Linked DNA regions of Kluyveromyces lactis. The protein of the gene in region 1 interacts with the protein of each later gene in a biochemical or structural test. Links are inferred from orthologs where the notes say so. Each region holds a gene or a part of one and is shown in the gene's direction. Other genes may lie near its edges.

Region 1 (4,091 bases):
GAATTGGCGGGTTCTGTAACAATGGTACGTATTGAATAGTTAATTGCGCCGTAGAATTGTCATTTCCAGTGAACCATAGTAAGTTTTCACCAGGAGTCAAAGAAATAATGCACTTGAATCCGTGGTTGTTAACGGGAAACGTTAAGGGAGGGAGCTGCGAATGATGCACTTGGACAGAATTGGCATTTGTATTTATATTTCCGTGGACAATAAGTGCGGGTGTATGAACCTCTTCTCCGTTCTTGATGTTGTAAAATTGGATTTGGGACATCACTTGATTTAATTAAGGGTATTCTATGGTGTACCAGTGGGAAAAAGAAGCAGATTTGAGTGTCAGTCACAGGTATTAGCTGAATTACCAGTGTAGAACCTTATGATATCGAATACTAGGAACAATGGATGGATTGCTCGTATTTAAAATCGTTTTACCTTCGAGACATCTTGTTTAAAGATCTGATCCAAAATCTACGCACATTGTAAATAAAATAAGCAGACCTCGAACTTTCATATCACGTGATATAGCAAGGTTTATATCTCTAAATATCCATCAACAAATAAAGCACTGCATAACCACAGGTAGGTTCGTTAAAGCCCGTACAGTGTCTGGAGGGAGTATCAGTGACCCACAATCTGCCCGAAAGTTTTATCTTCTACAATGACCACGTCGACATTAATTACTTAACTATGTGATTCTGAGAGAACACGAACTATGATGTTACCCGAATATTATTATTAAAATCTGACAGCTGTCAATATACAAATACGAACTGCAGCATACAATACACATATGTCAATGATCAAAGAAATACAATATATGTAGCTAACATCGACTGAGCAATTGGCTAATAAAGCAGCAACCATATACATACGCTGGAAAAAGCCTCTCAAACCGCGTCAGTTTATTTAGCAGTTATCTTGAAAGGAAACCAAATAAAAAAAAAATTTCAAAAATCCAAAAACCCAAATTTCGATTCTTCGACAATAACAAAACGGGCCGAAAATTATAAAAACAATACACACATTTGATATTCAATTGCCATCGATTGAGGCATCTACTCTTTTGGATCTTCAACTTGGTAGAGTCAATAACTGTGTCAGGATCTAGGCGACTTATCAGAAGTTTATAAAGGAGAAGGCTCTTTGCATTGTATTTTTTGCAGATAAAAGAGAAAGAGTTACAGACAATCGAGTGATACAGGAGATCAAATTATACTGAACCATGTCACACCATAAGAAGCGTGTTTATCCTCAGGCTCAGTACCAAATTGCAGAAGGGATTGCACAGCCAATTGTTGGTGGAGGTGTTCCTCCGCAAACTGTAGGTGCTGGACAGCCGCAATTTCTGACTCCTGCTCAACAACATTTGCATCAACAGATCGACCAAGCAAGTAACGGCATTGGTAATATGCAATTACACAACGTTCCTGTGGTTGATCCTACTGCATTCCAGCAAGCTGGAACCCCGGTGCAACAACCACCATACGGTGGGGCTCCTCAATATGGCCAGCCAATGAACAGTGGCTACGGCGCCGATAACATATCCGGTGTTCAGCAGCAGTATCAGCAGCCAATGCAACAGCCGTATGGGCAAACGTACGGACAACAGCAGCAGCAACCACAATATCAACAACCAGGAGTAGGAATGGCTGTGGGTAAACCAATGAATCAATTGTACCCAGTTGATTTGTTCCAAGAATTGCCTCCTCCAATCACTGACTTGTCTTTGCCTCCACCACCGTTGATGCTCCCTCCAGAGAAGATGATTGTTCCTAACGATACAGTTAACAATTGTTCTGACCATTTAAGGTGCACTTTGAACGCCGTTCCAAAAAACAATTCTTTACTGAAAAAATCGAAACTACCATTAGCTATGGTTATCAGACCATACACTAAGTTAACCGACTCTGAATGTCCAGTGCCAACTAGCGAAGACGGTGTTGTGGTTCGTTGTAGACGTTGTCGTGCCTACTTGAACCCCTTCGTACAAGTAATCGAGAATGGTTTACGTTGGAGATGTAACTTCTGTAACTTGGCGAACAACTTCCCTCAAGCAATTGATATGAATGGTAACCGTTACGAGAGACCCGAATTCAACCATTCTGTTGTGGATTTCGTTGCTCCTAAAGAATACGCTGTCAGACCACCACCACCATCCACTTACGCTTTCATTTTGGACGTTTCTCAGGCATCAATCAAGAATGGCTTGTTGGCTACTGCTGCAAGAACTCTCTTGGAAAGCTTGGATACCATTCCAAACCATGATGAGAGAACAAGAATCTCTATTATTTGTGTTGATCAATCTCTACATTACTTCCGTATTCCTTTGGACGAAGAAGGTGACAACATTAAGATGTACGACGTCGCTGACTTGGATGAACCATTCTTACCTTCTCCCACTGGCCTATTGGTTCCACTAATTGAGGCTAGAAGCAACATTGAAAAATTATTGACTAGCTTACCAGAAATTTTCCAACAAAATATTCAACCAAGATTTGCCTTGGCCTCTGCTCTAAAGTCTGCTTTGAACTTGATCAGAGCTCAGGGTGGTAAGATTATTGTTGTTGGTGCCACTTTGGCCAACGTCGGTGAAGGTACATTACATAAGAGAAATGAAAAGGCTGTTGCAAATACTTCCAAGGAAGCTTCCACTTTATTGAACACTGGTGACGCATTCTACAAATCTTTCCCTATCGAATGTAACAAATATCAAGTTACGGTGGATATGTTTATGGCTTCCGACGATTATGTCGATATCGCATCTATCTCTAACCTAGGCCGTTTCACTGGTGGCCAAACCCATTTCTACCCTGGTTTCAGTGCCTTAAACTTGATCGATGTTACAAAGTTCTCAAAAGAATTTTCAAAACACGTATCCATGGATCTATCTTTGGAAGCTGTTATGAGAGCTCGTGGTTCGTCAGGCTTGAAAATGACCGGATTTTACGGTCATTTCTTCAATAGATCTTCAGACTTGTGCGCTTTGGCTACGGTTCCAAGGGACCAATCATACGTTTTTGAAATTGGTATCGATGAACAATTAACAAAGGACTTTGTGTACATTCAAATTGCTTTATTATTGACATCCAATGCTGCCCAAAGAAGAATTAGAGTCATAACTATTGGTATTCCAACTACTGATAAGCTAACTGAAGTCTATGCTTCTGCAGATCAGTTGGCCATCACAGCATACTTCGCTCAAAAGGCTGTGGAAAGAGCTCCTTCTTCTGGCTTTGAAGACACTAGAGAATTTTTCAACAAATCTGTCCAAGAGGTTTTGGCTACATACAAGAAAGAAGTTTTGACTTCAAACACAGGTGGCGGAGCTCCATTAATGCTCTGTAGTAACCTAAGAATGTGGCCTCTATTGATGCATTCTCTAACTAAACATATGGCTTTCCGTTCTGGTATTGTTCCGGCTGATCACAGAGCTCAAGCATTAAATAATCTTGAAACGTTACCATTGCCATATTTGATTCAAAACATTTATCCAACAGTATACTCCTTACATGACATGCCTGACGAAGCTGGTCTTCCCGATGAAGAAACTGGTGAAATTGTACTACCGCAACCAATTAACTCCACCTCGTCTTTATTGGAAAGATACGGTCTGTATTTAATCGACACAGGATTGGACATGTTCTTATGGATTGGCGGTGATGCTGTCCCAGAGCTTGTTACAGACGTGTTTGGAACCCCGGACATTATGGAAATTCCAATTGGTAAAAATGAACTACCTCTATTAGACGCTACTGAGTTCAACCTAAGAGTGAGGAATGTTATTACAAAGATAAGAGAACACGATGATGTTATCTTCTACAAAACCTTGCACATTGTCAGAGGCGCCTCACCAAGTGAACCAATGAACCATCCTTCTGCCAGGGAAGTTGCTTCTCTAAGATTATGGACTGCATCTCAGTTGGTCGAAGATAAGGTCCAAAACAGCTGGAACTACAGAGAATTCTTACAAAACATGAAGACAAGAATCTCGAAGTAAGTTTAAAAGGTGCTTCCAAGTTGCGTACATACCATTTTTTATGTAGATATTGAAACCATGAAATAGCAAAATCTTACTTTGCACACAACCTTACACA
Region 2 (4,109 bases), on another chromosome or scaffold:
GCCCAAACTAGATTCAATTAATGTTATTTCGAACGACTCCATTTTGACTCTTGACAAGACTCTTGAACAGTTTCCGGGTCCGCTAATCAAGGGAAAATCAAAATCCAAAGATATTGCTAAGTGGCTAGATACTTATATTGAAGAGAAGAAACTAAAGGGTGCGAATGATACCTGTATTTTGCTTGAGCTCTTAAAACTGCGTTTGGATCCATCCTACAGTTTAAAAGCTGTGACAAATATAATTTACGATTCCAGTATATTGCTTCCTTATTTGTCTCAGCCGTTCATTCCAAAGGTTGCTGCCCCGAATGCTCACAAACTCGATGCCAATTCTTTGATTAGAGTTTTAACGTTATTGCAAACAGGCGCACATGACGATGCTTTAAATCTTTCTCTAGCTTTAAAAGATTATGCTATGGCATTACTATTGGGTAGTATCCTAGGAAAGGAAAAATGGTCGTCAGTTGTGGACCAGTATTTGACACAAGAATTTGAGCAAAGCAACGAACGAGACATCTCTTCTATTAATTTATTGGCTACAATTTTCCAGGTTTTCATTGGCAATTCTAAAAAGGTGATAGATTCTTTTAAACAAGATCCCACGAAACTAGAGTGGTCTCTAAATAACTGGAAGTTATTGATTGCATGTATTCTAAACAATTGTGAGGAGGTGCCTGCGAATGGAAAACTTTCCCCTATTGTGGTGGAATTTTTGCTTCAATTCGGAGAGCTTTTGGTCAGCAGAGGTCTTGTCATTGCTGGTTCCATCGCTTTTATCGTTGCCGATATTCCAATGTCCGAAGAGCCTTTGATTCCGTTTTCTTCTACAACATTCGAATACATTTGCTGCCCAAACTCATTTGAAAGTTTGATCTTATCGGAAATATACGAATTTACGTACGGTCAGAAAGATCCATCATTCTCCGGATTCACGTCATTGATACCGCAGAAGATAATTCATGCAGCTGGTTTAAGTGACTACGGTTTGAACAGTTCGTCAACAAAATACATGGATATGGCCCAAAGTATGCTAAAATCACTTCCTAAGAACTCAGAGACTACCTTGAAAACATTACGCTATATTGAAGATTTGAGTAATCAACTATCGTCTAGTAATGTAGGCTGGTTAGGGAAGCCAAAATTAAGCAGCGTATGGGGACAGCTTGACAAATCCTTCAACAAGTTTATCGGAGGTGACACAGACATTGATGAGTCAGAAACAGCAGCAATTGAAGACAAGGTCTTTGAGAAGTTTACACCAACTTCTTCGAGAAACCCATCCATGGCAGATTTATCACAAGCAGCATCCTATTTGACTCCTGCGTTGAATCGCTCACATATCAATCAGCTACAGTCCAATAACAGCTCGCTCATTAAATCAACTACGAAAATCCTACCGGCCTCATCATTACCTAGTAGAGAAACTCATTCTAAATACGGTCCACCACCACTACGTGATATGAAACCTCAGTCTAAAATTGGGGAGCTCTATGGCAGCCATTCTAATATAGAACCTTTGAACTCCACTGCATCTGCTCGTAACACTGTACATCCATCACACTTTGAAGAGCCTGATAACTATGTTAATCCCTCTGGTGCAACCTCTCTCGGACAAAAAGAACTGCCAAATTCCAACTCTACACCTGAACCTGTACTGCCACCTTTAGCTCAAGTATACCCTGGATATCAAATCCATCACGATTTATCAGATGGCAATTCTTCAGTCTCTTCTGGCCACAGACTCTATAGTAAGATGGGTGTGCCAAACCAAAATACTGCTTCATTCTGCGTTCCTTCCCCAATAGTCTCTCCACAATCAACGAAGCATCAATCATCTACTTCCAATAAGGCACTACCGTTAGAAAATCTATTCGATGATACAGTCACCTCGGGTTTAACCACTGAATCTACCCAAACTGGGAGTAATGCGCCACCTCGTTTCCATGAAAATGAACAACATTCGGTAGTTGATGACATTGTGGAAGAGATTGGGAATGAAATTGATGCAGAATTAGATGAATTACAGCACTCAGAGTTTTCAGACGATAACAATTTCGAGAGTACCGAACAAAATTCGATCTCTGGCGTTGAAGGGTCTGTTTCTCAGTTAAACGTCACCAATCAGTTACCTGTTGCAGAAAACTTGCAAGAAGAGGACAAAAATCAAGTAACCGATATTAATGTTCCCGTCACGCAAGCTCAACCGCTCAACTCTTTTTCCCCGGCCTCTTCTATTTCTTCTAAACCTTCTTCTTTGAAAAATATGAGTGTAGACAAAGCAGAACCTGCGAACCCTTACGCACCTAAGAATAGCTTCGGTGTTGCTCCACGCACTGCAAGAAAATCATACAATCCGTATTCACCTTCTTCTATTACGGAAAGTCATTCTATGGCATCCCTGCCTCAAACCTCAACTTCGCCTTATAACAATGATAATAATAGTGCTCCAGTTAATGAGACAGGTGGCCCAGAAGATCTTGCGATGTATGCGTATGGAAGCTATAAACTGTCCGGTGAAGATGCCAAACCGCAAACTATTGATTCTCCAAACGGACAGAAACAAGAAATTGAAAACAAAACGTCCTCACCACCTCTAAATTCTTTTGTTCCTTCTAATATTGGTCTCGGAGAAAATTTGATTTCTGTTAAATCTATTGGATTACCGGCACACTTGCAGAACGATTCACAAACATTGCCTTCTTCAAAAATCAAAGATCCTGTAATCAGACCGGTTCAAACCTCAAATTTCGTACCATTCATTGTCAGTGATACTAATACCGAAGAGTACTATGATGACTTGGTCGAAGACACAGAAGACGAAGATGAAGACGAACCTATTTCAGTAAAAAGGGAAATATCCGAAAGAAACTCGGAAAATCAAAACCAGAAAGTGAAAAATGATGAAGATGAAGATGAAGTTAAAACTGTGAGCGAGGATGAAGCCGGGAAACCTGATAAGAAGCAGAAGAACGAATCATCAGGAGGTTGGTTAGGCTGGTTTAAGAAGGATTCTAACGAGAAAAAACCTATTAAGGCCAAACTAGGACACGCGAATAACTTTTACTATGACGAAAACCTGAAAAGATGGGTTAATAAGGATGCTACTGAGGAAGAGAAATTGAAAGTGGCGACTCCACCTCCACCACCTCCTGTCGTAAAGCGTAAGATGTCAAAAACGCCTGAAATAAAACCCCGTCAAGGTTCAGTTGTGGGAGGTCCAGCGTTACGGACTGCACACGCAGTTATGCCCACCAATCCTTTGACCGGCAAACCGCTTGATCCTGTGAAAGACTTCTCCGATGATGCAGAGACAAAGTCGGAATCACCCGTATCTTCGAAACCACCTGTTTCGAATACTAATGTCAACTTATCTGGGTCAAAAGCAAACGGTCTAGATGATTTAATGGCATTGACTGGAGGCGTTAGCAGCGCATCGTCGACGAGAAGGAAAAAGAAATCGACTAGAGGTTACGTTAATGTTATGGAAAATTTATAACATCACTTTGTTAACTAGTTCTTCCGATAATTGAATTTCGAAATTGTTCTCAAGTGTATTGCATATAGCGTTAAATGAACCTAGTGTACTTCGACGTCTATGAATTTACTGAAAATAAATAAATATAGTCATTAATGATCATCTTTTACATTGGTATTTACAAGGTAGTATCGTAAAGCGAGGCCTTTTAATTACTAAGATATACTTTTATCAGTCTTTTTTAACAGGTGGTTGAACTCTGAACAAGTCTCCGTTAACTTTCATTCTTTCGATTACAATTTGGTTCGAAGTTTCGCTATCTTTTGGCAATTTCGCGTCTGGTGCACTCTCAAAAACAGAACCAGTTAATAGAATATCATTTGTGCTTGCATCGCAAAGGAAAGCGATATAGTCAATAACATCTCTGTCCAGTTTATCAGTTTTACTTTTCTTCTTGTCGAACTTAATTAACCTTTGTTTGGTATCAAACTTATAAATCAATTGAATTAATTCAACTGGACGACCGGGAATCATCATGGCTTGTGTGGAAACTAACTTTGGAACTTCATTGAATTTAATCAATTCCCAGTCCAAGGTAATGTTCGATGGGATTTGTTTGGCTCTCGCTGTCAAA
Region 3 (2,546 bases), on another chromosome or scaffold:
AATAGATGACCAAAGGGATAGTACACTTCTTATACATTCGTTACTGAAAACAAATTTAAACAATAATGAGGTGTTTGGTTTAGAAATGACATCCAGAGAAGCCTTACAAATACTCGATGATTTCCTGCAACTCGCTCTCCTATTGTCTTCTGATATGCGTAAGAATGCTGAGAATGGTATGACAAATCATGAAGGCGAAGTTAATGATAATAATGATGATAATGCTGATGATGATGATTCTGATAATAATAATAATAATAATAATAATAATAATAATAATAATAAAAATAAAAATAATAGTAACAATAATAATGCCAGTAGCGATGGCGATAATATTAACAATGATGATAATGACAATACTAATGATGAGAATAATAATCAAAATAATAATGATAACAATAGAAATAGTGATATCGGTGGCGACACTTCTAATGACAATGATAATTTGCATAATGAGCCCTCTGCGACCAAGTCAAAAACCGAAGATGACATAGAAATGGAGATAGATCATTGGTCTCATGAGAACCTCGAAGAAACTTCCAATATTAGAGCAATCTTTCAGATGAAATCAGCTCCTACTCTCTCCATATCCCAATATCTCGATAGAATCGAATCCAAATGTTCATTCCCGCCAATTATCTATTTGACAGCATCCTTCTTGTTAGTTACCTATTGCGACATAAAGTTCGACACTGGAAGTGGAAAATTTCATCTAGAAAACCCGATCACGGAATCCATGACGCATCGTTTGCTCATTGCATTCATCCGTTTGGCTGCCAAGTTACTTGAAGATCATGTACACTCCCATTCGTACTTTAGTAAGGTGTGTGGTATCTCTAAGAAACTTCTTTCTAAATTGGAACTGAATTTAGTTTTAATTCTACAAGACACCCAAGACGGTCTTCTTATCACTGAGCTTTCAATAAAAACTGTACTCGCACTACATGAGCATATAAACCTGAGCTGATGGTCGCCATTGTAATTTCCGGCGCACTCTTGCATCAACTGTATTTGCATAAAAGGAAGCAGTTACTTTTAGCACAAATTGATATTTCTAATGAAAAAACAACAACAAGCAAATCTAAAAAGTTGCAATTTCCATACACCTCCGTAATAACTGATTCCAAAGCTCTTTCATAAACGCACGTTCACATCCTGCATTGCTCTTTTATACCAAGTTATATTCACATAGTTGTAATGTGTAATCTTATATCAATCGTATCAAGTGATTTCAATTAATAGGAAGATCAAGAAACATTTGACCGTTTTACGAAAATGAACAGATTGGTCTTTCAAAAGAACAAAGGCAGGCATATTTTAAAAACAAAGTTTATGATCTTCATTTAGTTACTGTTAGTTAGTAATTCGACTTAAAAATTACGGCACTTTAAGCTACTAATTCTTTATTGACTCTTCATTTGTTGTACGGAAAATACAGTAAAAGATGGCAGGCTGGGATTTATTTGGATGGTTCAGGGACATTCTATCATCCCTAGGATTATGGAACAAGCATGGTAAGTTATTGTTCTTAGGTTTAGACAATGCTGGTAAGACTACCTTGTTACATATGTTGAAGAACGATAGATTAGCTACTTTGCAACCAACTTGGCACCCAACTTCTGAAGAATTGGCGATCGGTAATATCAAATTCACCACTTTTGATTTAGGTGGACATTTGCAAGCACGTAGATTGTGGAAGGATTATTTCCCAGAAGTTAATGGTATTGTGTTCCTAGTGGATGCTGCTGACCCAGAGAGATTTAACGAAGCACGTATTGAATTGGATGCTTTGTTCCAAATCAAGGAATTGGACAACGTTCCATTTGCTGTCTTGGGTAACAAGATTGACTCTCCAAGTGCCGTTTCTGAAACTGAATTGAGAGCTGCATTGGGTTTGATGAACACAACTGGATATACCAAAATTGAAGGTCAAAGACCTATCGAGTTGTTCATGTGTTCCGTTGTCATGAAGTCTGGTTACTCTGAAGCCTTCAAGTGGCTATCTGAATATATTTAAGTAGTTAAGCAAGCGCTACTAACGATATATAATAACTGCAAATATCACCTAATAAGCATGGAGAAGAATAACTATAATCATATATGCATAAAATACTTAGCTATGTTTCAGAATCTCATGGTCTCTTAGAATTGCATTAACATAGAAAATCTCCAGCTCAGAATCAACTCCAAATGCGACTCTTAACTAATACAGTAGTTCATTTTGGTTCTTAACAATTACTTTATACTCTATCATTCAAATTATGCAATGTAAATAGGTTAAAATACATAGTTTATTTCCTTTTCTTGGAAGACATAACATCACTTGTGTCATTGTCGTTGAATTGTCTTTTTTTACCGTTTTTGGAGAAGAAGTCCTTCTTACGTTGCTTCTCCTTTTCTTTCTTCGATTCCTCCAACTTAGCAAGCTTCTTGAGTCTTTCCTTCCTTTCTTCAGCTTTCTTGGATCTCTTCTTTTCATCCTTCGCATTCGAAATGGTGAGAACCTTTTGCATGAAGGAACGTGCCTTTTTCTCTTCGCCGCCTAG

What was found.
Region 2: the proteins of KLLA0_F03729g (region 1) and SEC16 form a complex in vitro, tested with the Saccharomyces cerevisiae proteins (2 studies listed by BioGRID). The link is inferred for Kluyveromyces lactis from reciprocal best matches to the Saccharomyces cerevisiae genes SEC24 and SEC16.
Region 3: the proteins of KLLA0_F03729g (region 1) and SAR1 form a complex in vitro, tested with the Saccharomyces cerevisiae proteins (3 studies listed by BioGRID). The link is inferred for Kluyveromyces lactis from reciprocal best matches to the Saccharomyces cerevisiae genes SEC24 and SAR1.

What each region holds. Positions count from the first base shown.
Region 1 is NC_006042.1:351,619-355,709, reverse strand, and holds KLLA0_F03729g (uncharacterized protein), read left to right. Parts: upstream 1-1,219; coding exon 1,220-3,994; downstream 3,995-4,091. Other genes in the region: KLLA0_F03751g (putative metalloendopeptidase), read right to left, coding at 1-271. UniProt on the Saccharomyces cerevisiae protein: Component of the coat protein complex II (COPII) which promotes the formation of transport vesicles from the endoplasmic reticulum (ER).
Region 2 is NC_006041.1:2,124,009-2,128,117, reverse strand, and holds the end of SEC16 (COPII coat assembly protein SEC16), read left to right. Parts: coding exon 1-3,496; downstream 3,497-4,109. Other genes in the region: MBA1 (Mba1p), read right to left, coding at 3,707-4,109. UniProt on the Saccharomyces cerevisiae protein: Involved in the initiation of assembly of the COPII coat required for the formation of transport vesicles from the endoplasmic reticulum (ER) and the selection of cargo molecules. Also involved in autophagy.
Region 3 is NC_006038.1:177,202-179,747, forward strand, and holds SAR1 (Arf family GTPase SAR1), read left to right. Parts: upstream 1-1,444; coding exon 1,445-2,017; downstream 2,018-2,546. Other genes in the region: KLLA0_B02024g (uncharacterized protein), read left to right, coding at 1-967; GTPase BMS1, read right to left, coding at 2,292-2,546. UniProt on the Saccharomyces cerevisiae protein: Small GTPase component of the coat protein complex II (COPII) which promotes the formation of transport vesicles from the endoplasmic reticulum (ER).